Linked DNA regions of Astyanax mexicanus. The protein of the gene in region 1 purifies or fractionates together with the protein of each later gene. This does not show direct contact. Links are inferred from orthologs where the notes say so. Each region holds a gene or a part of one and is shown in the gene's direction. Other genes may lie near its edges.

The links.
Region 2: the proteins of zc3h18 (region 1) and nuclear cap-binding protein subunit 1 purify together in Homo sapiens (co-immunoprecipitation; 3 studies listed by BioGRID and IntAct, with this or other methods). This does not show direct contact. The link is inferred for Astyanax mexicanus from reciprocal best matches to the Homo sapiens genes ZC3H18 and NCBP1.
Region 3: the proteins of zc3h18 (region 1) and fnbp4 purify together in Homo sapiens (affinity purification with mass spectrometry; 3 studies listed by BioGRID and IntAct, counting the BioPlex papers as one, with this or other methods). This does not show direct contact. The link is inferred for Astyanax mexicanus from reciprocal best matches to the Homo sapiens genes ZC3H18 and FNBP4.
Region 4: the proteins of zc3h18 (region 1) and srpk2 purify together in Homo sapiens (affinity purification with mass spectrometry; 3 studies listed by BioGRID and IntAct, with this or other methods). This does not show direct contact. The link is inferred for Astyanax mexicanus from reciprocal best matches to the Homo sapiens genes ZC3H18 and SRPK2.

Annotation. Positions count from the first base shown.
Region 1 is NC_064416.1:22,225,503-22,233,516, reverse strand, and holds the start of zc3h18 (zinc finger CCCH domain-containing protein 18), read left to right. Parts: upstream 1-5,013; 5' UTR 5,014-5,143; intron 5,144-5,400; exon of another isoform or gene 5,401-5,531; intron 5,532-7,091; 5' UTR 7,092-7,102; coding exon 7,103-8,011; intron 8,012-8,014.
Region 2 is NC_064409.1:65,453,153-65,460,652, reverse strand, and holds the start of nuclear cap-binding protein subunit 1, read left to right. Parts: upstream 1-4,481; 5' UTR 4,482-4,637; coding exon 4,638-4,671; intron 4,672-7,302; coding exon 7,303-7,391; intron 7,392-7,500. Other genes in the region: thiosulfate sulfurtransferase/rhodanese-like domain-containing protein 2, read right to left, coding at 478-600, 699-807, 1,625-1,914, 2,882-3,013. UniProt on the Homo sapiens protein: Component of the cap-binding complex (CBC), which binds cotranscriptionally to the 5'-cap of pre-mRNAs and is involved in various processes such as pre-mRNA splicing, translation regulation, nonsense-mediated mRNA decay, RNA-mediated gene silencing (RNAi) by microRNAs (miRNAs) and mRNA export.
Region 3 is NC_064409.1:54,396,727-54,403,823, forward strand, and holds the start of fnbp4 (formin-binding protein 4), read left to right. Parts: upstream 1-4,079; 5' UTR 4,080-4,137; coding exon 4,138-4,255; intron 4,256-4,471; exon of another isoform or gene 4,472-4,600; intron 4,601-6,625; coding exon 6,626-6,700; intron 6,701-6,846; coding exon 6,847-6,974; intron 6,975-7,097. Other genes in the region: lrrc10 (leucine-rich repeat-containing protein 10), read left to right, coding at 892-1,704.
Region 4 is NC_064409.1:52,788,246-52,795,508, reverse strand, and holds the start of srpk2 (SRSF protein kinase 2), read left to right. Parts: upstream 1-4,240; 5' UTR 4,241-4,362; coding exon 4,363-4,378; intron 4,379-4,648; coding exon 4,649-4,715; intron 4,716-7,263. Other genes in the region: pus7 (pseudouridylate synthase 7 homolog), read right to left, coding at 64-374. UniProt on the Homo sapiens protein: Serine/arginine-rich protein-specific kinase which specifically phosphorylates its substrates at serine residues located in regions rich in arginine/serine dipeptides, known as RS domains and is involved in the phosphorylation of SR splicing factors and the regulation of splicing.

The DNA of each region.
Region 1 (8,014 bases):
TACATCTCTCTCTGTCTCTCTCTCTCTCACAGACACACACACACACTCAGTGCTTCCCTCCACACCTGCTGGGGTCACAGAATTTTTTTTTCAGAAGAAAACTCTTCACACATTATCAACCTGTACCGACGATAAGCTGCCAGAGCAAATTATTCAAATGAGACATTTTAGTGGTACGCTGCATTAGGCAGCAAAAAAACCCTGCAAGTCTTAAAAACACACAACTGCCACAGGCAATCTGCTCACTACAGCAGTAGAAATTAAATACAACTGTTTTCAAGGATTTACACTTGGGGATGGGGCAGTGAATGTTCTATAATGCCTGGCCCATACTGCAGTTTTTTTTATCCTGACAGATGTCAAAAACGTGAGTGATCGCACACGTGAAATCATTTTTTACAGATTTTTCAGTCTTTAATTTTTGTTAGCTAGTGTTTGACCAGCCAACACCTCAGTTTTTTTTTTAATCTCACGGGAGTTTCTCATAAACTGTTATAATGTGAGAGTAAACATGGTGGATGACAGAAAAACATCACTTTGTTGAATAAATGTTTTCAACTCAGAAATAGTAATGTATACTGTTTGCTGTAAAAAAAATCTCTTTATCAAGCATAAAGTTAACACATTTTAAATCCACCCTATTCAAAAAAAAATATATGAGCATGTGTTATATTTAGGCGGCCCAGTAGAGTTAGGCTCTGTTTGGTTTAAATCCTGGGTCATGCTGCTTGGCATCAGCAGCCAGAGTCCGAGTCACCACAATTGGCTATGCTCTCTTCCCATATCACACCCAAACTGATGTATCAGAGAAGGTATGAGCGAGTCTTCACCTTCCTAGGTTTGGAGGCATTACTAGTGAAAGGGGGCGTACTAATAAGGAAATGTGGTAATTGACCTTCCAAATAGAGGTGAAAATGGAATAAAATTTGAAATAATTCGAAAAAAATAAATGATCAATAAACGATCAGGACAAACCTTACTGCTCTGGGACAAGATTAGAGGACTAAAGATTGGATTATATACTTCACATTCTACAGAATAATCTGGAAACTGTATCGAAATCGGGAGATTTTTGAGACTGTCGGGAAGAACAAATCAGCCTCAAAATTGATCTGACCATCCTGTAGTGTTGGCCAGGCATAAGATAACATTTGGGAAGTCCACAGTAATATTATACCAAAAAAAAAAAAAAAAAAGAACATGCTTAGTCCAGAAAATTAAGCTTTCAGATCAATTTAGGCTTCTTAACATGCTCTTCTATCTTGTCATCTGTTGCTGGTGTCACAACACAATAAAATATTGTTACATTGACTAGCTCTATTTAATACAGTACCTAACACGAATCACGATCACAAATCTGAAATTTAAAAGATATACTCTTATAAACTATAAAAAAGTGAAATTTCTCTATTTAATACTTCAGGTTATCTTTAAATAAAGAGTCCACAGTTAAACCTGGGTTTGTTATGAAATTCTCTGACTTTATCTCTACTGGAATGTCTTGAGCATCTTGAGCTAAACACGCTCATTAAGTCAGCAGCTGTCCTCTAAAGAGCATTTTCTTGCCGCGCTGTGATGTCGAGCCTGATTCACAGACTGGCGTTGATGGTGAGGGCCAGGCACGCTGATGAGAGCCTGTGATAAGAATTAAGCTGTCAGTCTTTTGGTCAGTCTCTCCTCAGTGAGTGGGATCCAAGCAGAATCATAAAGTCATCGAGCCATTCAAAGACTCTCTTTCACTCTCTCATTTTCTCTATCTATTTCCCTGTCTGTCTGTCTGTCCATCTGTTTATCTATATATCATATATGTATGCAGTTATATTTGTTACATTTACTGGGTCACCTGCTTAATCATTGTTTTAATAAACTGTTGATCCTGCTTTTGTTGGAGTAACTATCTCTGTTTTCCAGTGGAAGACTGTGAGTGTTCGATTACATTCACCACCCCACCTTTTCCCTAAATCCCAACTCATCCCAAAAATATTGGTTGGTGCACCATCATTCCATAGAACACCATTTCACTGTGTGAAAGCTCAATAGTGGGAGGCTTTATTCCCCTCCAGCCCCCAACAGGTATTACACATGGTGGCAAATGGCTCATGTTTATCTGCTCCATAGTAAAGGTGGGATACAATATTGTGATATATCATATAATATATTGTAAGTCGCTTTGGACAAAAGCGTCTGCCAAATATAATGTAATGTAATGTAACTATATATTTTTATTAAAGCACAGGTGCTCTAAACTCCCAAAGATTCGCCCCAATTTAACTTATTAAAGTTACTGCTTCATTACTCCATTAATTTATTATTATTATAAGTATTTTAAAGAAATTTCTTGTGATATATCCACAGAAATTTGATATCATTGTTATTGTGGGCCACATATCCTGGTAATATTGTATTATGAGAAGCCCTGTGATTCCCACACCTACTCCACTGTAACCAAATAATCAATGTTGAATTCATCTGTCATGTTATGGCTGATTAGTGTCTCTCCCACGATCTGTTTTTGTCTGTATGTCTGTCTCTGTCTGTCTCTCTAGTCATTTGTCTGTCCTTCGATCTATCTGTATTTCTCTGTGTCTGTGTGCATCTTTCTCTCTATGTGTCTGTCTGTCTCTTTCTCTATTTTGCTCTCTTTTGTGCTTCTTTCTCTCTCTTTGTCTATCTCTCCCAATTTATTTGTCTGTAAGTCTGTCATTATCCTAATGTCTGTCCTTTTATCACTCTCCCTTTCACTCAATTTGTCTGTGTGTCTTTTCCCCTCTCTCTGTTTGTGTCTCTCTCACTGTTTATCTGTCTGTCTCTCCGTGTCTGTTTCTCTCTCACTTTTACATGGTCCAAGTCTATTTCTTTCTCTTTTCTCCTTTTTCTCTACCTCTTTATGTCTATCTGTCTTTTTTGGCTTGTTCTGTGTGTGTCTCTCTCTCTCTCTCTCTTACTATGTCTCTCTTCCTCTTTATCTCTTTCTGTCTCATTTCTGTCTGTCTGTCACTCTTTCACTATGTCTCTTTCTCTGCATATGTATTTCTGTTAATCTCTCTTTACTTATGTGATTCTATGTTAATAAAATCTTTTTTATTGTCTGGCTGTATAAATTGTATAAATGTACTTGAAAAACAATGTTTCTTCTAAATGCTGGAGACAAACACACTTTCAATTGGTGAACAGGAAATGAGTATTATATCTGTTAACAACAACAACAACAGCAACAATTATTAATTGATTCATTGTGGTGAAGTAGATTATTTCAGTGGTTAGTATAAACAGTGCGTTATTACATGCTATTCTAAACCAGGAGGAAGCAAATACTGGAGAAAGTACAAAAACGAATACATATGAACACATTTAACATAATTCATTGGTTTTTTTTTTTTTTTTTTAAGAAGAACAGTCACAGTTTAACAGCACTGTATATTTCTCTTCACCCTCACACATGCGGTCAGTGCTAAACCAGAGATAACCCGAGCGAGTTAATAATATAAAACATTTCACAGACAGTAACTAACTTCCCAGCAGCTCCAGTGAAGGCGCGTCTCTTACCATTTTCTTCTCTTGGGTTTGGGATTCATTCAGTCCGTGCAGAGAGCGCTGGGTGGTGTGGTGTCGGCTGTGGAGCGCAGGTGAGAGAGTGAAGAGAGAGAGAGATGTGTGGTTCAGGTGAGGAGGAATGCGGCTCCAGCGGGCAGCGGCGGAGTGGGGAGCTCGCGCGCTCCTGGAGCCGCACTGTTCCGTGGGGACGAGCCGGGAGCGTTTTCTCTGCAACAGCGCTCTCTAGTGTGCGCGCGCCACCAGCGCTGCTGCACTTCACCACTGAACACACCACAAGAAGTAAGGAAACTTGTGTTTGGTATATTATTTTAAAAATAAATCTTATACCCTGGGAAAGCCTGCTAATTTCTCTTTTAAAAGGAGCCAATTTTGTAGGGAGCATGAATTTCAGAGCTGAGTATGTGGATTGCATAAATCTTCTCCAACATTGCCAAATAGCTTGTTCTGCCTGTAATATTAATTCTTGTTTTGAGCTTCTGGTACCCCCAGGTGCTGCCTGTGAGATGTCAGTGGTCAGTCAGTAAGTGTCTGCTTCATGAATCTGCATCATCCCACATTTGAATAATTTGGATCTGAATAGGGTCCATACGACAGGGCAACTTCTGTTCCGTAAAATCAAGGTGCGGCTTTATTTGGAATTGAGCCCTCGTACCACTGAAGGCCAAGATTCCTATAACGGGGGTGTCAGAGACAGGCAATGGCAGAGAGGATTTGGCTATTTTTTTCATGGGTGCAACCCATTTACTCAGCTTTGCTGCTTATCCCCCAAATGCCATTTAGAGGCTTCTGAATAGACTTACAACCCCTGACGTAGAGTTTGGCTTATTATGTAACCATCCCTGCATATATGTAGGCAACAATATATGTATATTCATTTTGCTTTGCATGCTAATCGTATATTTCAACATTGAAGGTGCTACACTAGCATTTTTTATATTCATTAGCATTCTTAGTTAAACTCAGTAACTCATAAAGTAGCACATTACAATATACTAACTCTAGCCTGAAATATTATAATATAGTAAAATACATATCTATGTGTATTTCAAACTACATCATTATTACTGTCACCTTCCCAAAATTACAGCTAAGTCCCAGCATTAAAAAAATAATAAAATGTATCTATGACTTAGTCACTCAAATATATATATATATATATATATATATATATATATATATATATATATATATATATATATATATATATATATATATTCTTTTTTTTTCATTGCACTGAATATCAAAAGCTTAATCTAGTGGAAGACACGTCCTACTCTATTCTGTTGTGATTAATTTTATTATATATTTTTTGTTTTATAATACCGACTTTAATTAATTTAATAAGACTCTTTTCGGATGTTTTCTGTGTGAATGGCTAGCCTAGCCTCGCCTTGTGTCGGGTGTTGATGACGATACTGTAATGGCCGCTCTCACGGTGTGTTGCGGGGTCTATGCGTTACTCCGGTAAAGAGAGAATCACTGATCGGCGCTTTCTTTCTTTATTCCCCGGTTAGATTTCCTCACGGAGGGGGAGAGGCCGGGTAGCCCCACATCGAGCCCCAGTCTCCGCGGCGCTGTGTTGTGAAAGGTGACCGACTGTGTTTTAAGCGCGTGTTTGCTGAGAGTTCTCGTTATTGTTGTTGGCCGCGGCGAGTCGGTGCGAGTCAGGGACGCCGCCGGGCAGCAGTGAGACGAAACGGGACGAGCCCTGCGGCCAGTCGCGGTTATTCTGCAGGGCGGGTGTAGTTTCGGGGGTTGGTGTCGGTCCGGGTCCATGAGCTCGGCTGTAGCGGGGTTTGGGCCGCTCTCTGTCGGGCCTGCTGCTCCTGCTGCTGCGCGGCCACCGGCGGAGCGACGCCTCCTCCTCATTGGCAAATAGGCGAAGCTAAGCTACGCTAGCCAGCTGTAGTCGGCGAGCTAGAAAATTGTCCTTTCGCTCGACCATCTCATGAGTCTCTTGCCGTTATTCCGAGCAGGTAACCTCATTCCAAATTACTTACTAAACTACAATTACATTAACTCTGTATGTTACGAAGTGTGCACGGTGTGAAGCAAGGCCGTTACGGGTGCGGAGACCTCGCTAGCTAACCTAGCTTAGCTAGCCAGTATGCTAAGCTAACAGGCTGTTAAACGGTAACGTTAACATAGCTAACTACTTAACCTAGCTAACGTTAGCTAGTAGGCTATCGTCATTAGCATTAGCATCGCCTTGGGTTGTGTTTATCCCTCCTCGGTGTTAGATTAGCTAACAGCTAACTAACTAGCTAAACAATTAACCGAACTAGTTAACCCAACTATTAGGGCTACACATTTAGCTATATTTTTTTGACAACAAGCACAGTAAACGATATTAAATTAATATAAAACAATGTAAGGGTAGTTAACCTAGCTACATATGACTAATAGTAACGTATATACAGTACAGAAATAATAACATTAATAGTGGATGTAGTTAGAGGTTACGTAACCCTAGTTGCAAGATTATGTGCTAATGCATAGCTAGCTTACATAGTTACATAAATACGTACTCACATATTAACCGTTTTATTAGTATTTTGTTTTTTAGATGACTGTTTAATAGGTTATAGTGTTCATCTTTATTTCTCTATTTTTTATTTATTTATATAAAACCTGAACGTTACAAGTGTAAAATTCAGTATATATGCATGTGTATATTCCCAAACATTTACTTGTTAGGTAGTTTACACTAATAGTCTAAATAAGTCTGCAAGGGTATTTTATTTTTGTATTTTTCGTATTCAGAACAATGTAGGACTAATATAGCTACCTAAGCTAACTGCTTTTCTGTATGTTTAAAACTGTGAAGCATAAAGTATCAATGGTAAAAACGCAATTCTGAGACAAAGTTCCCTGGGGTTAATACATTTTTAACTAAGCATTTTCTTAACAGTCACTTCACTTAATTTAATTAATTGTTTCTTATTAAAGGGAAAGGATAGATTGTTTCACTAAAGGAGTGGTCAAGAAAACAGATTCTATATTTTTATTTTTTAAGGAGGAAACAAAAAAAACTAATAAAACAAAGAGAATAGTTGTTAAACTGAAGGATTTATTAAATGAATAGAGCAAATTGTGGAACTAAGGGGAATGCTTTACTAAATTGACAGAACAATTTATTTTATTGCCAAAAAAAAAATAAGGGAAACATTTGTGTTCTTAAATATTTAGTTTTAACCTTGATCATTTTTTCTGGTCCTGTGGAAACCTTTTCAATCAGAATGTGCTCAGTATTGGAATTTAGGCCTGTTAAGGCCTGTTTTTGAAGACTAAGCCACACTTAGATTTGGTCAGAGTTACCAACCGCTGTCAAGGTTGGTGTTGTACCAGTCCTTGGCTAACAGTTCTGAAAGGCTTCTGAAAACCAAAACTGTGTTAAAGGATATTTACAACCCCTTACGTAGAATTTAGCTTAATATGTATCCAGAAAACCATCCTGGCATGTACTTAAGCAGCAATATATGTTCATATTTTGCTTTGCATGCTAATCATGTAAATATGAATGTTTTTGATTACAGATTGAGTGCTGATGGACACCCCTGAGAGCCCCACACAGTCTCCACAGTCTCCAGAGGAGGAGGAGAAAGGTCTGTCAGACAGTGAGCTGCTGGAATCTCCAGAGTCCCCTACTGAGGGGAACAATGAAGTGTCTGACAGTGAGTTACTAAACGATGAGGAAGGAGGAGGAGGAGGGGGAGAGTCAGACATTGATGATGAAGACAAGGTTGATTTGGGTGGGAGAGCTCCAGGAGAAATATCTGACCAAGACGATGACAAGGTAGACGGGATCGCGGGGAAAGATGTACACCAGCAGGAGAAGTCAGGAACCATTCTGAAAGGTGGGCAACACATGAGCAGATCTCCAGAGCGGGAAGAAGAAGAGGAGATCTTGGAAACCCCTAGGTCACCAGACCCTGAATCACCAGAGCCCGTACATCAACAACCCTTCACCCTTGCTGAAGAAGAGCGTGGGGAAGCCAGCCAAGAAGAAGAAGAGGAGGGAGAGAAGACCACTGGCTTAGGCATGAGTCGTCCAGAGTTGGAGGAGGAGGATGAAGAGGAAAGGACACAAAGGAGGGTAATGGCAGTCAGTGATCTAAAAGATGAAAACTCTTCTGTCTCCAGAGAGCTGGATGAGCATGAGCTGGACTATGATGAAGAAGTGCCTGAGGAACCAAATATTGGTGTTCCAGAGGAGGATGACATGGAGAAGGGTCCTGGTGCTGAGGACGGTGAAGCGAATGAGGAGGAAAAAGACAACAAAGAGGAGGGGAAGAGGAAAAGAAGTGAAAGGAACCCTATCCTCCCCCCAGACCAGGGCAACTCTGATCTTAAGAAATCTGAAGAGACAAAAGGCCAAGAAAGAGGCAGGAGGGATTCCTTTCGTGATAAAAAGAAAGATGAAGATGATGGCGAGATTGATGAAGGAGAAATTGATGTA
Region 2 (7,500 bases), on another chromosome or scaffold:
AATACATATGTTTATTTAATATGAGATAAAATATTCCCTTATTAGTACAACAGCAGGCAAATTTTCAATATTACAGCAACACAGAGGACAGGACAAAAGTATTAGGAAATATGCATTTGTATTAATATATAAAAAATACTGGAATCTTTTTAAAAACAAAAATCTAGAGAATATAAATCTATAGACACTATATGATTGGAGGAAACATGGTTCTCCGGTATGTGTGTTGTAAGAAGTTACTAGTGATATTCCAGTTAACAGTGAATAAATTAACAGTAAATAATAGGGGATGGCATGATGGCTGCAAGTAATTAAATTTGCCTGCATTAAATTATAAGTGGTGTCTCTTTTTTTATAGAATCTTTTTTTTTGTATTGCTAGATAATTATATAAAACAAACAAAGAGTCAAACATTATTTTTAAACAGGCAAATCTGATTTGACCAGCCCTAACAGACAATCTCATTTGCAGGACTACCTTAAAATCTTCCACTTGCATTATTTTGAAAATGGGGTGTGACAGCATCGCCTTGATGTAAAGCTTTGTGGCCGTTTTGGTTCCACCAACTGTTCCATTAATGCCCTCAGTGGCCACACGCACCTGCAGGAGGAGCACAAGTTCCAGAGTAGTGTAACAGCACACTGTGACAATTCATGCACATGTGAAGATTCTCATCAGGAGGAGAGCACTGCGTTTACCTTGCCAGTGAGATGAAGTCTTGAACACAGCTCAGACTGCCAAGAACAAATCAGCTTGGGATCTCGTATTTGGCAGTAGCTGTAATACAGGAGGACTTCACCTGGACCTCTGGAAGAGGGCAACAAAACTAATATCAGCACTAGTTAAAATATGGGTTTTAAACAAGTGTCATCAGAGAGGGTGCCCTGCTTATCTAGGATTACAATGTTAACAGTAGATCCATTGAGATCTCTCAGGTACCAGTGTTTTGGATTAATTCACAGATCTTGCACGAATCCAGATCCAGACACAAATAAACAGTAATATTTTGACTAATCGATTCATATCTTTCTACTCTAATATTATTAGAATTGGCAATACTTTTGTTACATATACAGCTCTGGAAAAATTCTGCTTCTGAATCAGTTTCAATGTATAGGTATATGTTTGAGTAAAATGAACATTATTATTTAGACATCATTTCTCCCAAATTCCAAATAAAAATATTGTCATTTAGAGCATGTATTTACAGATCTCAAATAATGCAAATAAAACAAGTTCATATTCATAAAAATCAATATTTGGTGGATTAACCCTGTTTTTTAATCACAGTTTTTATGCATCTTGGCATATTCTCCTTCACCAGTTTTACACACTGCTTTTGGATAACTACAAACATTCAAGCAGTTCAGTTTGGTTTGATGGCTTGTGATCATCCATCTCCCTCTTGATTATATACCCCATACATTGCCAATGTTGGAAAAATTTGTAAGAAAAAAAACCAAAAAATTTTAATGGTCAGTAAAAAAAGAATTCTTTTCCAGTTTATTTCTGAGCATTTTTATGTGTACATTCATCATGAAATGCTAATATAAAGAATAACTCAAGAAAAACTCTTTTTTTTTGCCTAACAGTAAAATAATCATATACTAAAGGAATCTCTTACTTGCTGAGCTCCTCCTCAGAAAGATGGCTTGTGCTGGGTATCCAGGAGGCTGGATCGTCTGATTGGCTCTCATTTGGGTCTTCTTGCTTTTGAAAAGCCTCCTCGCTCTGGCTCAGCATCTGATCCAGGGCCGCAGTGGTGAGCTGCTCGATCTCTTCAGCGTGGAGGTTGGAAACATGCTTGTGGACTGAGGACGGGTCTGAAAAGGTCTCGTCACAGCACTGCCAAACCGGTGAGGTATCAGTAGGAGACGATGAGACCCTCTTAGACGCCACAAATGTTGCAAAAGTCTGAAAGTCACAGAAGACTATTGTGAGTGCAAACAACAATAAACATAGAGCAGTTTCTTAATGTAAACTTTACAAACGTAAGTTAATTCTTATTATAGTTAAACAAATATTACATTGTTCATGTATTAAGTTTGAAAATGTCAATATTTGAGATGGCAACTGAACCTCTTTACTCTCTTTGCATTTATTATGCTTCTTCCATACAAATATTAATTCTAAATAATTTCTGCATAAAAAATATGCAATGGGGGTGGGCGATATGGCCCTAAAATAATATCACAATATTTCATGGTATTTTTGTGATAACGATACCCTTGGCAATATGAAAAAACACTGAATTAAAAATATATATTTCAACATATATTTCAAACGTTTTCAACATTTATTGTACTGAAGTTTTTTTTTTTTTCAGGTCAACACTGAACCAATGCTATGTTTGTTTGTAAACAACTATATTGTAAAGAAAATTATATATACTGTGTATAATTATATAGCTTGCACCATGTTCTTGCAGTGTAAAAAATTACATAATAATAATAATAATAATAATAATAATAATAATGATTTTGTTTAAGGGGGAGGACCTTTTACTTAAAAACATTACAAACAAACTGATGCCTATGAGGCAAAACATAAGGACTAACGTTTATTTAACGTTATTTACCATCAGTGAACCAAAATATAAACAACATATGTATTAGGATATATACATTAAAAAATAATAAACTAAAAATTATTTACATCAGTTGCAGCAGAGAAGCCTTTACATGTAGACAGTGCAGATATGTTTAATAAATGTCAAATCTATGTATATGTTTTAAAATTGTGCACTGTTTTAGTGTTATGCAACCTGTGAACTGTGTAGAAAAGTGTAGACTAAATAAATATATAAAAACTATAAATTAGGAGTTTAAAAAGTGTCACATTTAGCTAACTATTACAATGTAACCTAAGCTAATAAACTTACCCTCTTCTTTATGTAGGAGTAGCACTTTCGAGTTGTTGAAATCTCGCACTTCTCATGCTTTAGAGTCCCGGCAATAAGAGTCTCCACATCCAAATGAATAAGAACAGACTCTGCCAGATCTTCACTGTCCATATTAATCTGAGTATCAGCTGATATATCTCTACACGAGGTAATACTGCAGACTACTGATCATCACACTCTAAACACACTACAGCTCCCTAAATCAACCACAGGAGCCATACAGGGGGTTATAATATAAATCCCAGGCTGTTCAGACCACAGTAAATCCTGATTAAATGATCAGAAATAAATCAGTTACTAGTTTAAGAGCTAAAACAGATAAACAAGGGTTATTATAAAACTCCTCTCTCCGCCATGCAGTTCTGCTGCTGCTGCTACTGGCGTGTCGGCAGAGCCAGAGCTGCTTTACGGAGAGACTGATCACTTCATATCACCCCCGAAATATCAGTAAACCCCTGCATGCCGCTAGAGGGAGCCAGCGAGGGAGTCCTCAATGAATAAGGGTGAATGGAGCTAAATGGCTAAAAACTCAAATTTAATTAGTAACAAACTACTCGTCTAGGATATTCCTTTATTTTAAAAGTAGAGAAAGTCTTTCACTAAAAAAATAGGAAAATATAAATAAGAAAAAATCTATCTGTATATCAGTGGATACTGTAGGCAGAACATGTTTACGAGGTCCAGACTTGAGTGCTCTGTCCAAAAAGTGACTTAAATAGAAGTTGAAGTGTTCTTTAAGCTTGTACTAAGTGGAAGTACTAAAGTTTTCAACATTTTTTGTGGAAGTACTAAAGTTTTCAACATTTTGTGTACTTAAGTGTTGCAATAATAAATAAATAAACTAAATTTTCTGTAGCTATTGCAGAAACCTGTGGAAAATTCTCAGTGTGAAAGGCAGAACAATACAGGACTCAATTTGTTCTGTGTTTCCATAAATCTCCAGTACACATGTCTGTCACACACACATCAACACAAAATCTTTATCTCAATTTTAATTGACCCTTTCATCCAGCTTCGTCTCTGTGTGTTGAGAAGTCTGACTGCCTAGTGGATGAAGCTGTTCCAGAATCTGGTTGTTGAGGCTCGGATGCTCCAGTATCTTCTGCCCCCACCTATCCCTTACAAGGATTTTCTTTTGTACATCTTTGCTTTGATGTCGTCCGGTAGAAGATACCAGAGCATCAAATGCTGTGGTTTTCCTTGGTCTGCTGGTTTGCCATCTGTTACTTAGTACACCAGTGATGACTTTCTTATACAGGAATACACCTTACAGTCAAGTTTCAATATTTTAGCTTACAAAAAATTGGGTGGGTTAAGATAAAAGGTTCTATCTTTTAAATTGTGTATCAGGTCCAAATGTAAATACCTGTTATAAAAGCTGAGATGTTGGTCTTTTGCTTCATAATCTGTTAATGTCAAACTCAAATGGTTTCAGTCTACAGCAGAAATAAAATGATTTGCCTCAGTGTTCCATTAATTTTGATGGGCACTATACGAGTAACACGTTCTTAAGTGGGTATTCTCCTCTGTGTAGACTCTCTGGTTGAGCTCCTGCCGCTCCGGAACAGTATCTAAACAGTCCCGCCCTCTTTTAGTTTTCCACGGTGGTGGCGGCTCGCTGCTGTAGCTTCTGCAAATTTTTAGCTTCGGGGCTCCAAAAAATAGGAGAATAAACCTGTAAAAATAACACAGGAGGACTTCAAACATCTGTAGACCGATAACCGAGCGCTGAAAGATGTCTAGGAGAAGGCACAGCGACGAGAACGACGGTGAGTGCGGAGTTGTGTGACGCCGTTTGCTCGGCTAGGCTGGAGTTTGTCTTATTTAGTTAGCTAACTAGCTACCTTTCAAATTTTCCGGTCCACCTTAAATAGAGCCCCAGTTGAGGTTCAGGAGTCGGGGGCTGGCTTTAGGTGTTTCGTTGCGATCGTTGCGCTGTTTAAGGTGGAATGGAGAGTTAGCTTAGCTACCTAGCTTCATGAGTTGCTGTTAGCTAGCTATTTTAGCGGTTTAGGTAGATACTCTAGCTAGGGCTAGGTTAGCTAGCTAACTAATACCCTTCTTTAAACAATGGCGCAGGGTAGTTTAACAGAGTATAGCGATTTCTGCAGGTATTATTTGGCTATTTTTTGGATATATTTTGCGTTTTCTTGGTTTAATTACTAAACTTTTAATCATTTGTACTTAAAACATGGTGTTCGAGTTGAAGCTAACGGAATAGCTAACTAGCAAGCTTAGCTAAGCTAGGTTAACGTTAGCTAGCTAATGCTAACACAGGCATGCTGTTTCACTGCCATTTCTCCTCAGGAGGCTCAGAGCTAATTTTCCAACAAAAAAGATAATTATTTAGCTGTTACCAGTATGTATACTCCACATCGTGCTCCATTTAGCTTTTTAAGTGTTTACCTAAAGCTCGTATGTCTTTGTGTAACGGTGCTATATCGTCCTCCCTCCTTTTTTTAATGAGACTAGACTCAGTGTTTATTATTCGCACAGTGAACACATTAATACATTCTATTAAACGAATGCTCGATTATTTTAAATAAAATATCTTTCGCAATAAAAACTATTTAATACTAACTTATAGCTACAGTACCAGTCAAAGGTTTATACACGCCTTCTTTTTCAGTGTTTTTCTTTATTTCTTTAACTGTTAACACCTTGACAGGCCAACATTTTTGTCATTTTGTTATTTTTGCCTGATATTACACTCCTAAATCTTAAGAATTTCTATACAAGCATTATATGAAAAGGTTTCCCGTTTGATTATTAACGTTTCTACAAATTCTAATTATACTTATAATATATATATTTTTAAATGTAAGTAAACCTGCAATTTTAACAATATAATGAATAACAATCTTGAAATTGCAACTTTCCTAAACTTCATTTTAAAACCAGTATTTCCTGAATACAGTATTTCCTGAATGTTCTCTACACCTTTCGTTTCGTTACAATTGTTTTTTTTTTTCTGTGTTCAAACCTGCAAAATTTGGATTTGATCCTGTTGCTGATCTAAAATGATTGCGTTGAGGAGAGTGTGAACAGGCAGCTTCTCCTAGTAACCTGTAGGAGTCTTCAAAGCCCTCAACGTTGTCTGAATGTGAATAATCCTATTTTACTGCAGAGAAAAGGGCTTTTGTCATCTACATTTTGTAGCCTTTATACGTTCCAAGGCCTGTAAAGGGGTTAATTAATTTTCTACAGTACATATAAATATTAAAGACATGGGAACAATTAAAGAACACATATATAGAACTCTGAATTAAACAAAACAAATAAAGTGTTTGTCCTCCACAATTCCTTAATCTAAACCCAACTAAGATGGTGATTTGGGATGAGCTGGAGTTTCCCAGTGTGAAGGAAAAGCAACAACTATTGTAAGAAACTTCCTGAGAAAATTCCAATAGTGTGCAGATCTGTTCTAAAAGCTACATAAATAAAAATATTTTATACACATGTCCCCGTATAGCTATAATGTAATATAATTAATGACTTTTTGTTAAAACACTGTTTTTATGTATGGTCTTAATACTTAAAATGTAATTTTTCTCTTGAATGATTGCACTATTGTTATCATTTTACCGGTGGCATTAGATGATCATAAAATTACAATTTTGCTACAATTTCTGAAAAGTGGTAATCATGAGAGGTCTTATTGAGCAAACTATTTGTTAAATTGAGGAAAGGGGGCCTGTTTCTAAATATTGTTATAATACTCAGTGACAGTACATTCAATTGCAGTGAGTAAGCTAAAAGGTACTTCAAAATGTGCATTGTGGTCTCTCTTCACAGTGAATGCATATGGTGGTTTTAGTGAGGATTCTGTCCTGTTCACTTCTTGCCAGCTCTCTTGGGTTCTAATTCTTTCCTTTGGTTTAATGATTAGTACATGCATTCATGAGCAGATGTAGTCTGAATTTGCAGTTATGGTGCCTCCATGTTCTCAGTAGTTCTTGTATCATCATCATTAACAAAAGTTTAACAACCACAAAAAGCTTCTGGGACCTACCAGACCACCCTGTTTTAAGAATAAATATGTGGCTTTGTAGGAATGGTATCAGAAGCACAATAATGACATTACAATATTTACAACATCACAATGTCTTCCCATTCAGGAGCACAACTACTTTCAGTTTATATCAAACAAATCTTGAGGACAGCTGCTGTTTAATATGTTAAGTTAGAGTGTATTTTGTTAGCAGATGCTCCTATCTAGGACACTGTAAAAATAGTACAAGCCAAACTACTGTAGAGTACCTGTGTGTACCTAGTGATGACCACTGACGTGGTTCTTATTTGCTACCTGTAGTATCAGTTTCTTGAATTTGTTTGATGTGGAACAAGAGTGTGTGTGAATTACCATGTTAAAATCAGTGTGTTTCTCTCTTGCAATACAGGAGGTCAGCCTCACAAAAGGAGGAGGACATCTGAGCCAATTGAAATCGAGGACCGACTAGAATCACTGATATGCAGAGTTGGAGAAAAGGTAAGACCACAGAACATTTTAATGCTCTCCTTAAAGCTGAGGATGAAATTGTCAATAAATTATAATTGTTAGCTTTTTGTCTTATCGTTACTAGAATGCTGCTCTAATA
Region 3 (7,097 bases), on another chromosome or scaffold:
CTCTAAAGCATGATTACCGTAGCCTTTGGACATTGCCTGTGTGATGTCACATCATTATTTATTTATTTAACTTATATACTGGTTCTAAATTGCTGTCATTCCACTTTTGTCCTCTTATATATATAACCTGACCACAATTAACTGTTGTGGCTGACTGAGTCTGAACACTCTGAGCTGTTGTGGCATGCAAGAAACACTGTGGGCTGTTCTGGCATTTTGATATAGGATTGTTGAGTTGCTCCACTTAAGTTATCCTTGTATTTTGCGGGTTAGGGGCTAGATAGCACACACATATGGGAGGGGCTTAGATTGTCTCCACATTCCTTAATCACAGGACACTTCTTATCACTGGCACTGGCCAGCTCCGCCTTCCAGAGCCTGGGAAGTCATGCAACATAAATGAGGGAGGGCAAGCTGGATATCATCTTTGGCACTTCCAGGAGTCAGCCAGGCAAAGCTTTGAGCAAGGCAGAGGTCTGAGCCCAGTGTGGAGTAAAAAAAAAAACAATAAATGGGATGGGATAGAATGGAATTAAATGAAGGAAAGATTCTCTTCAGCTGCTTAGTAAGTAATGATGTTTATAATATTTGTAATAGACATTAGCAATGCTAATAAAAGTTAATTTTATTTACATTGTGCCTTGATAGTTCCGAAGGCCATTTGCAGTCAATAAATCGATAATAGAACAAGTGTTTTATTTAGACTTAGAGCAATGCTTGTGTGAAACACACAGATCCAAGCTTTTGTGTTAATTATGGTTATTGGCTCAACTGAATTAAGTTATTACTAATGGATGACAAAAGATTATCTATTTCAGATTTCTATTAATGAGCTCTCCTACTTCTATATCTGTTCTCCTCATGAAGGGGGCATGAAATTGGACTGGAATAATGGGAAATGTTGTTCGTGGAGCTGTGGCCTTCATTCCATCAGACCGGTGTCAGCAGTATTTGGTGGGGGACTTGAAGGAGATGCCCCATGACTGTACTGTGGATCTGAGCAGTCGTCAGCTGCGGCGCTTCCCCATTAGAGCTTGTGCCTTTAGAGAACTTGTTAAACTTTACCTTAGTGATAACCACCTGAGCAGTCTGCCACCTGAGCTCCACAACCTACAAAAACTACAACTTCTAGCGCTGGACTTCAACTGCTTTGAGGAGCTGCCATCAGTTGTTTGCAGCCTTCGGCAGCTCAATATCCTCTACCTCGGGAATAACAGACTGTACAAACTGCCAAAAGAGCTGGCCAAGCTTTCCGAACTAAAGACACTGTGGTTGGAGACCAACTGCTTTATAACATTTCCAAGTGTTGTGTGTAAACTTCCCAACCTGAAAACCCTACATCTGGGATACAATCAGTTTCGTAGTTTGCCTGGTGAGTTGGTCAGGTTGGATGAGCTGCGGAGTATTTGGCTGGCAGGAAACTTGCTGAATGAATTTCCGCCAGTGCTTCTAGAAATGCATTATTTGGAAGTGATTGATGTAGATAGAAACCGCATTCGGCAATTTCCAGCACTCACTCAACTAAGAGGACTGAAGCTGGTCATTTATGACCACAACCCTTGCGTTAATGCACCCTTAGTAGGGGAGGGTGTGAGACGGGTTGGACGCTGGGCTGACTGCTCTGAAGAGGAAGATGATGAAGCTGAAGGAAAAGTCACTGAGGCGTCCCTAGAGGTGAGATGTCAGCTTCCAGAGACAGAGTGATATGAACACTACAAATTGTGGAATATATACTTATTTATACTATCCCACAGTATAATTTACATGTAGCAAGACACTGAACAGTAACACTTAAGTGTTGGTATTTTAAAATGTTGTTAAATTTTGTCTGGAAGCATAAAAAAGCACAATGACACCAAGAGACAACTGCAGATTTAACTGTATTAAATAAAGTAAAAATACTAAATATGTTGTTGAGTTTCTCTTCCTTACACTGTCTTTACCTTTCTATTCTTAGGAACAAATAATCACCAAGACCTTCATCTGAAATCTCTGTAATTCTCTTGATCCAGATAATTTATTACAATAATGGATTGTTACATTTCTACAATGTACCTCATCTTCTTAATAATGCATGTTTCATGTGACAGATTTGGGTCTTCATTTTGATGTAAGACCGTTAATAGACTTTCATCATCATTCTTGCTGCTCCTGGTCTGTGGTAGAGCAAAGTGTTTTGCAGACTGTGGTTCTCTGCACAGGTCACACATACACTCATATTGGTCTCTCTGTGGTATGTAATTTATTTTAATAATGTGAATGATGAATTGTACGTGTAGATTTTTTATCCATTTAAAATGTCAGAATCCATACCATATTAATAATATGTTGAAGAGTACATTTCTTTTGAAAATTCTAGCTCAGGGCCAGCGTTTGCTGGTAGCTGGGTGTTAGATGGTTTAAGCGGGTATTCTTTATGGTTAAAAAGATGATTATTCTGACATAAACATACCCTATGCTGTGAATGTTGCTTTTGATTTTGGTCACGCTGGTTATGCTGGTTGCCGTGTGTGGTCTTGTTGGTCCTTCTGGAGGTTTGAACTGTAACAGTGTAACAGTACACAGTAATATACAGAATAAAAAATAACATCTGCAGTAGAATAAATATCAAAGAACATTACTGTGCAAAAGGAGTAACAATGCAACAGGTTGTCAAATATAAATAATCACATTAACAGTGCAAGGATGCAGGTAAATAGCTGTGGCATGCAGAAGCTTTTGTCCATACACAGGCTTCTGCCCAGGCATAGACTTCTGCCCATTCATACTCTTCTGCTCATTCACAGTCTTCTTTCCAGCCCTGGGCTGCTGCCCATTCACAGGTTTCTGCCCATTCATAGGCTTTAGCTTGGGCATATGCTTCTTCCCAGGTTTCTGCCCTTTCATCAATTTCTGCCCAGCCACAGGCTTCTGCCCTGTCCCAGGCTTGTGTCCATTCACAGCCTTCTGTTGAGCCCCAGGCTTCTGTCAATTCAAAGGCTTCTGGCACAGCCACAGATTTCTGTCTTTTCACGTTTTTGCTCAGACACAGGCTTCTGCCCAGCCCCAGGCTTCTGCCCTTTCACAGGCTTCTTCCCATACCTAGGCTTCTGCTCATTTACAGGCTTCTGCTGAAGTACAGGTTTCTCCCTAGAAGCCCTAGGGTTTCTGCCCTTTCACAAGTTTTTGCTCTGGCACAGGCTTCTGCCCATTCCCAGGCTTCTGTCCATTCACAGGCTTCTGCTGAAGCACAGGTTTCTCCCTAAGGTACCGGTTTCTTCCTAAGTACAGGATTCTGCCCATTCACAGGCTTTTGGACACTTATTTGCCCATTTACAGGCTTTTTTCCCTGGCACAGGCTTCTGCCCAGCCCCAGGTTTCCGCCCACTCACAGGCTTCTGCCCATTCACAGATTTATGTTTTTATATAAAACAAACTTTAACTTTAACAAACACATTCGTTTAAATTAAGCAAATCACAGTATAGTATATTAAGTACAGTATATATATATATATATATATATATATATATATATATATATATATATATATATATATATATATATAGTACATCATATATGTAAACATGTATAAACATTTTTAAAGCACTGTAGATGACATGTTTCATCGTGTCATGTATTTAAAAAAAGAAGCACTGATCACAACTGGAACACACACACACGACATGTTACAATTTTTTTGAAAGAAGGGGTCTTTTATTTTGTAGTAAAGAAAACATTTTCACCGACACCGACACGCAAAAAATATGTATTATTAAATGAATTACAGATGAATAAGTAATAAAATAAATCACATGTACCCATATTTTGTCTATGTAGACTAAAAACTAAGCGATTTGGAAAAGAGGAATTAGCTAAGAAGTGTCTCACCAGTCTTGTGGCGGTTAGCATGCAGGCTAACTAGAGCATTTAGGAGAAATGTAATCGTGCAAGTTAGTTAGGTGGGTGCAATTAAAGTAAACAAAATAGATTGGTGTGTTATATCTTCTTTATTAAAATTAAAGGGCTTCAGAAAATAAACTGTACGTTGGGGTTGGGTCTTTTAATATAAAGCGTGTGTCAGTGGAGCGCCGCTGGCTTCACACAGCCTGCCTGACGATCATTTTGTCGCTAGCTGGGCTCCATTATCACTGTCAGTTATGGGAAAGAAAACCCGGACGGGGACGGGCCGCCGGACCATTCTACAGCTTTCTCCGCCCGGACCTCGCAGTGGACTCGGCGCAGGGAGAGACGAAGGGTTAGGTTCTGGGTCGGAAGGTGAGAAAACATTATTTATTTATACGAATCGTTTCCACAGGCCCAGTAAACGCAGCCTCGTGTTGGCTATGTTTCTGAGTAAGCTGGATTTAAAGAGTTGTGTGCGATGCGGCCTCACCCAGACTCGGAGGTGGGTAACCCAGGTCCGGAAAGTAGAAATCCATCCCAGGGTTTAGTGCCAACTGCCTAAGCAACTTTGCTGCAGTTTAGCAGTTTGTACGAGGCAACTGGTACAAAGCCTGGGATGGATTTTTACCTTCTGGACCTGGGTTAACCACCCCTGCCCAGACTACACAGAGAGACGCAGCTAACAGCGTTGGCTTTGAACGGAGAATAATTTGGCAAGTAAGTAGCTTTGGGTATCTAAAATAACTGGATAATCGAGACAGGACCTTGATTAGCTAGGTTATATAGCTAATACCACTAAAATATTCTACATTTACAGTGAAAAGGATAGGTAACCTACGTTTATTTACCCTAAACAGACAGCTTTAGCTAGCTAACAGCTAGGCTAGGCTAAATACCAGTTACTAACATTATGGTAGGTTAGTTCTCGTATGATTGTCAAAGCAGCTTACCAACAAGTAGGGTTAGTTAACTAATTTACAGTTGCTACAATAAGACACAAACAAATTTATCTGCTTAAACATGAAATACTCCTAATATTTCCAGTAAACGACTTCTTAAAACCTGTGTGAATAACTGTGTGGTAGCTAGGTAGTTAGCATTAGCTGGCTAATGTTAGCATGAAAGCGATTCTGGTTTCTAACAAAAGACGGTTTTAAATGTATCCGGTTTTCAGCAAATCACAAAGCTGGCTAAATTTATTTCCCAAAATGCATTTATTTAAATCTAGCCTAGCGTAACCATTACAGTCTAAAGGATATTGAAAAACTACAGGATACAGTCGTATGAATAACATAAAATGTCTCATTATGTATATAAGTTACAGCTTTGGACAAAATAAAAGACCACTTAAAATGACGGGTTTCTTTGTTTTTACCAAATTGAAAAAACACTCTGGAATATAATCAAGAGGAAGATTGATGATCACAGGCCATCAAGCCAAGCTGATCTGCTTGAAATTTTGCACCAGGAGTGGCCTAAATTTACCCAAAAGCAGTGTGTAAGCCTGGTGGATAAGAACATGCCAAGATGCATAAAAACTGTGATTAAAACCAGGGTTATTCCACCAAATATGGATTTCTGAACTCTAAAGACGTTATAATACAATATAATATAATCTAATATAATATAAATGTTTTCTTTGCATTACTTTAGGTCTGAAAGCTCTGCATCTTTTTTGTTATTTCAGCCATTTCTCATTTTCTGCAAATAAATGCTCTATTTTTATTTGAAATTTTGGATGAAATCTTGTCCGTAGTTTATAGAATAAAACAACAATGTTTTCTTATTTTCTTTTCAGAGCTGTGTATATGTATATATATACACATGTCTGTCTGCCTGTATATATATATATATATATATATATATATATATATATATATATATATATATATATATATATATATATATTGAAATTATAAAAATATTTATTATTCAGATATATGTAAAAATAGTTTGCTAGAGAGAGGCAGTAAATATCTAGGCAATCTACAGGATTTGACACAATGTTATTTTATGTCAGTTTACGTAAGCAAACATTAAGGGGAAAATATAAAATAAGGTTTCTTTGAGATCCCTGAAAGATTAAGTGTGAATGACCAAGAAAAAAAAAAAACAAGGTTATTAATTTGTAATAATTAGTTTCCTCAATGTTATAAATTGTTATCTTAACTAAAGTGTCTTCTCTAAACTGATGGAATGATTAATTCGATCAATAGACTGGATTCTGAAATTGAAGGAAAAATCTATTTTTAAAAATGCATGTTTTATTTTTCCCCCCTTATATTTTCAGACATGCCTATGCTTATTTCAGGAGAACTTTCTGTCTTGTGTTAAAACTTTGTTTAAAAGTTGCGGAATAAATTGGTACATTTGCTTCTAACATTGGGGTCTAACTGTGGCTGGTTGTGCAGCGCCTTTATCCAGTAGTGGTATATAAGTGGTGCACCTTAAGAAATGTATCCTTGTTGTAATCCTTACCTCATACAATTAATGCTGTTAAGACAGTGTGTTTATCATGCAAAATTGTTTCTTGTTTAAGAATGGTGGTTTATTATATTATAAGTTTTATTGAGAAACACTTTATCATACACCTAAAGAGTTAATGGATTTACAAATAAGTTTCGGTATTTTTGATGAATGCCAGTATTAGATGTGCCAAAAGTCCATTATTTTTGCAAAAAAATATAAATCCTGTTATAAATATTCATCATTGATGATGATAATTTGTTTTCTTTAATGCAGAGGAGCCAGAGGGTAACGCTGACAGCCATAGAGAAGTAAACATAGAAATGAAGCCTCCTGCTGTAAAGGCAACCCGTAAGTGAAGCATCTATTAAAGTCTAATACTGTGAAAACTTACTGGGATTTAAATATTCATAATTAAAATAATATGGTGCATGTTTCCTTTATCACAGTAGACATTGTGTTAGTATGAAGTGAAGTTCATTAGGTTTGTTTTGCAGAGGGCTTGTCCTTGCTGGGTGCCTACGAGGACAGTGATGAGGAAGATGCTTCTGAAACCATTTCCACAACAAAGGGCAAGCACAATCGGCCTGCAGATATTGACAGTACCCTAGCTAGTTTCATGGCTGTGAGTATACTCATATTATTGTCTGCTTTGTTTTTTGATACAGTATTTCAGTAGTATTCTTTTGTGTCGAGAGGCTTTCGCCTTTTCTTATCTTACTGTAATTATAGTGGAACAGGTGTGGTT
Region 4 (7,263 bases), on another chromosome or scaffold:
ATATGGCAAATGTGTGGAACTTTGACATTATGTGTACCTTTCCAGGCAGACTGACCCACTAACCTCTCTTTCAGGATTCCAGAGAAGCCATTATGCTCACTGACAAACTTGCAAATGCCCACATCCACTTCACTGAGACCATACTTCATCATGTCAGCAAAGCTCTCTCCTTCTCCATCACATTCTTCCAGAGCCTCCTCTTCTTCCTCCCCTTCCAGCTCCTCTTTATCATCTTCTGTCCGCTTAGTGGCATGGCTGCCATTTGCTTCATCCTGAACTTTGACTCTTTTAGCAATGTGCTCTGAATCCTCTTCTGGGCATGTCCGCTTCTCTCCAACATGAACTGGCTCTGCCAAGGGCTCCTTGTCCTCCATTGGCACAAAGCTGATATCATAGTAAAAAAAGGAAGAGAAATAAGGAAAGGCAGAGTTATACTGCAGGCTGTTGATTCCACAGTGTGAGATCTAACTACACTGAGTTACTTACTGAGTGGAGGTAAACGAGAAAAACTAGGAGAGAAATCTCTTTGTTGTGTTCAGATGATTTAAGCCTTGCTGAGAGATAACAGAAACACTTTCTTGCAGGATGAAAAGAGAGCAGTTCTGTAGAATAGAAAAGAGACATACATGTACATATATAATAAAGCTGTGTAGCACAGTGAGCACTAGCTGGCTGATTCATCCTGCCAGACCCTAAGGCTAAGTTTTAACCGAATTACTTTAAGGCTTGACAGTCCCTATACATTTTTGGGGGGTTAACAAATATTAAGCACCTATTTCACAAATGGATGTCCAACAAATTACCAGTAAGTAAATAAGGTACAGTATGGTATTGTACAATACCCAGAAATTGGTTATGCCATGGAGGGTTAACATTCTTAATCAGCTTAAACAGACCATGTTGGTTTTTTAAAGCAGTGTAGTATTTTCCTTCCCTTTTTTACCCATTAAAATTTCTTGTCTCGTATACAGGCTACAGGTGTAGATGATACAAAACCCTTTTTTCTTCTAAAATCTCCAACAGTACACTTGGAGAAGCTGTCTATTTTCTCTCTACTCCACTTAATAATTCCATATCAGTAACAGGAATCAACACAAATTTTGCATGATTGAAAATAAATGTAAAAACTACACAAACAAATATTGATTTTAAAATGAAGTTCAGGAAAGAGCCAATTATTTTGACATTAGCAGATTTACTTATTATTATTTTTATATATTTTCTATTACAATTACAATTATAATATTTAGTAATGTTCCTTATCAAACACAAGCTTTTTATGTAATGCTTGAATAGAAACCCTTAAGATTTAGTGGCTTAATTTTAGGCAGACAATTGACAAAAAAGCTTGGCCTGTTAAGGGGTTAAAGGGGTGGGAATTTAATGCCGTCAATCATTAATGTGGTGAGGTTACCGGAGTATGTTAGCAGAACAATCTCCACACTCTGTTACTTCCACTGTGGAAAAAAACAACTGTTATGCTAATCAGAAGAATACAGGTAAATGGTAATTGCTAGCCACTATTTAATAAAAAATAACTATCAAGCAGTGCTGGAGGGAGTCCGGCACATTCTTAAACTGAGCGGCTAGTCCGTTTCTGATTTTCCGCTGTGAGTTATGTTAGGGTTAACTGACTGTATCCGCACTGTGCCGCTGTGAATGCTATGCTATTAATATACGTTTACCGGATAATAATTTAATATAGCTAACCCAGCTAGATAACTGAGGTGTATGTGAGTGAATCTGATAATAGTATAGCGCCCACCTTCTCCAGCCCAGTCCTGATAGCCGCCGTGCTGCTCTAAACATCAAACCACGTGTCCACGTGCCCGCTCTCCTCCGGAAGTGTTTACTGGGTTAAGCTCCGCCTGCGCGCTTGTTTTTCCCTTTTTATTTATTCGGTAATCACAAAAATCACACATTTTATCAAACAAAAAGAGTATCGGTTTACAAAATATACTCTTTTATACAATATAACGTACAGTGCCAGTTAAAAGTTGGGACACACCTCTTTTCATTTTCATGTCTTTTCTTTCTTTTTATGTTTTTTTTACATTGTAAATGTAATATTGAAGACTATATTCAAGCTATACAGGAACACGTGAGATTAATTTGTAAACCAAATGACCCTTATATGACCCCATATGACCCTTAATTGTTTAATGTCTTTAATGTAGAAAATAAATATATAAATAAAGAAAAACAATGAATGAGAAGGTATGTACAGACTTTAGACTGGTACTGTATAAACACATAAAAATATAATTCTATAACACTCACAATCTTCTGCGTATTGTTAGCTTTTTGGGTATAAAGGAAGTTAAGCAGGCAATCATGCAGCAATTTTAAATGGGTGCTAAACTGTTTCAAATAACCCTTAGAGGTTATTCCGGTTTTGTGTAAATTACATTTTCCCAGCATCACTTTAGCACCTAGAAACGTTACATAATTTTTAGTGATCTATCTGTATAATTATATCTGTAATAAAAACATAATTTGTAATGTTTTTGCATAAAATGTTTGATTTAGATTTTAATGAAAATAAAAAGGGGCCCAAAAATAAACGTTTTATTCTTCAACATTATGAAAAGTATAGATGTAAAAGAGGTAATCTCACCCAAACGCCACAAGCAAAGAGAAAACAATACATTGGAGGAGCCTACACAATTCCGTGTGTACATGAATGGGTTAAAACGTCCAACGCTCTTGGATGTTAATGTTAAAATCTGGCTAAAATATTGTCCAGCAGATGGTGCTGTGGCTCTGAGCCAATGCATGTTGTTCATTATTCAAATCCCCTTCTTAAAGCAGGACCAGGGACACAGGCCTGTGTTGTTTGCGTGTGAATTATCGAAATAACCTTTTTTACATATGTGTATAGAAGTCCATCATTTGTAGCAAGCATTGTTTATAAAGCGTTTTGTGTATTATCATCAAATTATTATGTATGCATTGCGCAGTTATGCATATTATACAGTTAGAATGATTTAGTAAAAAAATGTGCACAGTCCCATGTTGATTAAACTCTGTGGGGTGGATTAGGCAGATGTAAGGACCGAAGGTCGAATATATGAACAGATGGGTGGATAAAAAGGGACTGTGTGTGAATGTTAACTGCTATCCGGATTTTTTTTAGCCCCTCCGATGTCTGCATAGACTATATGTATTCTCACACATGACAACAAATATTATTACCACAAAACTCGGCCTGCAGTTGTGTCTTAGGCAGATATGTAAATTAATAGGTGTGCTCTGATTACACTGGGTCCTGCCAGAAGAGGGTGTAAAATTGCTTTTTTTAGGAAGTGTTCCTCTTTGTGACTGCTAACCATGCCTATATGATGCACTCAATGAAACTTTGCGCAGTTGACAGACATTGAGAGAAAACACCTTACTGGACTGAGAGAAGGTGTTAACGATTGCCTCACCTTTTGTTTGCAGTTGTGTCATGAACTACAAACCTGAAATTCTTACAAGCTGGAACCGTATTCATCTTCAGTGAATAATCCAGGTTCTGTTTGGGATTTGATAGTGGTCCGGTTTGTGTATGCTGGAACGACACACTGCCCCAACTGCTGGTGTGGTAATCTGGAGAGCCTTCGCACAGGACAGTTGGTCACCCATAGTGCACTGCAGATTATTATTATTACCACAAAACTCGGCCTGCAGTCCTGTTTTAGGCATATATATAAATTAATAGGTGTGCTCTGATTCCACACTGGGTCTTGCCAGAAGGGTGTAAAATTGCTTTTCTCACTACCACATTGAAAGGCTGTGTGAGTGGCTTTTTTGGGGAAGTGCACCTCTTCGTGAGAGATTGTTGACTGCATGCCTATACAATGCATTCAAAGATACTTTGCCCAGTTGACAGACTTGGAGAGGGAACACCTCACTTGACTGAGAGAAGTAGGGTGGTTGTTTTGTTGGCAAGCTATTGCACACAGTTGTTCACCCCTAGTAGTGATACTAATAGCTTAACCATATATTCAGTACATCCTGTGGCTACATGTGCAGAATTACCTAAAATATGTTTTGATCACCTACATATATCATCCCATATCATACATTCACAAATAGGAAGTTTAATATAATTCTAACAGTTCTTCTCGGAGAATATATATATTATTTTTTTGTCAGTACGTGTATATTTAGATGTTCCTTGTGTTTTAAATGTGCTTTACAGGCTCGTGCGGGAGTGAATCCATCCTGTGTAGCTTCTCAGTGAAGGATGGATGAGGATGCGCGTGCACGCGCGGCTCCTCCCACTCTCCTAGACAGCGGGAGCGCGCCTCCATCCTCCAGCCGCGCTGGAGAGAGAACCGGGCTGCCGCTGCTGGCGCTGAGGCGAGGAGGATAAACACCATGAGCTCCAGAAAGGGTACACTAAACACTATAGACTATTTAAATTCACGCAGACATCTGCTCGTTTCGGCGGGGCTTCTGAAAACCTCGCGTCCAGCCCTGCTGTCGCGTTGCGTGACCTTTTTTTGGATATTGTTGTTGTGTGTTAATGTACGATGCTTTCTTTCCACGGTCAGCTAACCTAGCTCTCTGTCTCATCGAGCCCCTCTGTTTTCCCTCTGTTCTCTTTCTGGCGTCCCTCCCCCCGGTGCTGCCTGCCCTCCGTCTCCTGCTTGCTCTCCTCCAGTGATGGCTATCCAGGCTCGGAAGAGGAGGCCGAAGGGGAAGAAAGACAAGGCGGCTCACCACCGGAGGTAAGTAAGCAGGGGCGTGGGTCGTAGGGGCAGCTCTCGGAGTTTGTATCTGTGTGTATATAGAGTGTATAGGTTGCTTCTATGGGCTGGTAGCATTGAGGTAACGTTAGCTCGCTGCTGTTACTGATGCGGGCTCTCAGCGCGTGAGCACAACACGCGACCGTTACGGGGGGAGGTTAGCTAGCTAGTGTTGACAGCAGCCCCGGCGAGGGGCGGCGTGTGGACGGTACTGATGACTGACCGTAACGCTATATAGCTAGTTCTCACCAACCATATAACACATACACACACACACACACACACATAGTCACAGATATGCAGCTTTTGAGGGCTGAAACAGGCTGAATGAGCGGGGTTCAAATCGTTGCTAACATTAGCTAACGATAAATGTTGATTGAATACAGCGCTGTTTCACTGTGCAATCTGCCCAGCGAGTCGCGAGTTGCTAATGGCAACGGCCCGAGCTAAAGCGTCGCCTCGCGCTTCCTCGCTGTGCTCGAGTTTGCATGGACTAGCTTACTAGTCACATTTATGGCAATTTAGTTATGTAAGAGCACACACATGTACGCGCGCGCGCACATACACAGTGTAATATATGTGTTACATATTTTAACATTAATTTGTTTAACCAGAGCTACGTTATTACAGATATCTACTATTATTGCATGCCTAAACATTTTATCAAATTAATATAACGCTGTTTATATTAGCTTAGAATAAAAACCTATTTGAGACACTTTGGATTCCATTGCCCTTCAGTTGTATAGAAGCTCCAATTCAACATATCTGCTATTCATTATTTCTGATCATCTGAAATAAAACAACATTTTAGTCATCAAAATTGTCCTTCTTTTACTAGTAAGGCTGTAAATGCAGATATCTTGAATTGCCATTTCAAATATACAAAATGTAATTGATACCAGATACTAGAGTAAAAACTCTATTATGTATATCTAGCATTCAATTGTGAACAGTCAGACTTTAATCTTGTATGTGTGTGTGTGTGTGAGTGAAAGGGGGTGGATTATGAGCTAGCTATGAAGATGGTGTGTGTGTGTTGTGGGCTGGATTGAGGGAGATGTGGCTGGATGATGTGACAGATGTGGAGCTGATGCTTTTGGGGGCGTGGGCGTGCTGCTAGCGCTGGGTTCAGGGTAGAGGGGAGATGTTGGTGTGTTTAGTGTGTGTGAGAACTCCGTGTAAGAAACGTGGGCGTTTAGAGGAGATATTAGCCGGTGTTTTAAGCGGTGGTCGCTGAGCGGAGCGCGGTGCAGCGGTGGGACTAATGCTGAGCGGTTGGCTGGGTTGAGTGACAGCGGCTTCATGGCGCCACGCGATTGGCGCGACGTCACCGCCAGCCGTTTGGTGATTCCCGGGCTGTAGCCGCGAGCCGAAGAATATGCTGGAAAAGCCAGCGTGCTTTTCTAATGCAAGACACCTCCATGTGTCTCACACTGCGAGCCTTGCATGGCGCGATGGGATGCTATCCATGATGCCTCGCACGAGCACTGTTAATACAGTAGCAACAAGATAATAATATTCTCAATGCATACTGCATGTTTTGTTTTTATATATTTCATATGTGGAACAGACTTAATGTCCCTATAGTAGGGGTGTACTAATACACGTTTTTAGGTTAAATATAGTGTATGGAATAATCTTATTTTATATTGTGAGGGATGCATCAATAGTGAAATTATAATGTGGTGCCAATATCCAACATTTTTCACAAACTTATTTACATTTGTCGATATAGACATTGAAAGCTCTTATGTTTGTGACTCTTAAATGTTTCAGATCATCAAACAAATGTAAACATTAGTCAAAAGCCCTATCCAGGTGGGATTAGTTTCTCAGGGGGACTTCTACTCAGTGATAAAACTCTTGCATCTGGACTGCAATTGAAAAGCAGGAGGACCAGTGAGTGGCATTGCGTTCAGTAGCCCCTCCATTTCCACTCGCTGTTGTGTTTACGTGGATCTTCGTGTAAACGCCCAAAGTGTAATTATGGTGCATGGCAGAGGACAAAAAGCTATTTTATTAAACGGTGACGAAACTCTCAGAGCATCCAGACGGGAATAAAATTACAGTAGGTAATTCAGCTTGTAATTTTCAAGTTTTTGAATAAAGTTTTTTACTACAGGAGGAAAAACATCAAAACTACATGGCCCTGTGTGATAAAGTGTGCCCCTCCCAGTTAAAACTGAACTGTGGTTCAATTTCTCTAGCCACACCCATGCCTGATTACTGCCACACCTGTTCTCAATCAAGAAATTACTTAAATAGGACCTGCCTGGCAAAAGTGAACACATCATGCCAATATCAAAAGAAATTCAGGAACAAATGAGAAAGAATGCAATTGAGATCTATCAGTCTGGAAAAGGGTCCTCAAGGGATTTGGACCTGACAGCTGTGTAGCCTTAAAAAAACCTCATCAGTGAAGCTAGCTGGAAAAACAGCTTTTATTATGGATTCTGGAGCAATTGGAGAAGGTCATGTGGTCCAAAAAGTCTGGGGGGGCGGTGCTATGATCTAGGGTTGCTGCAGT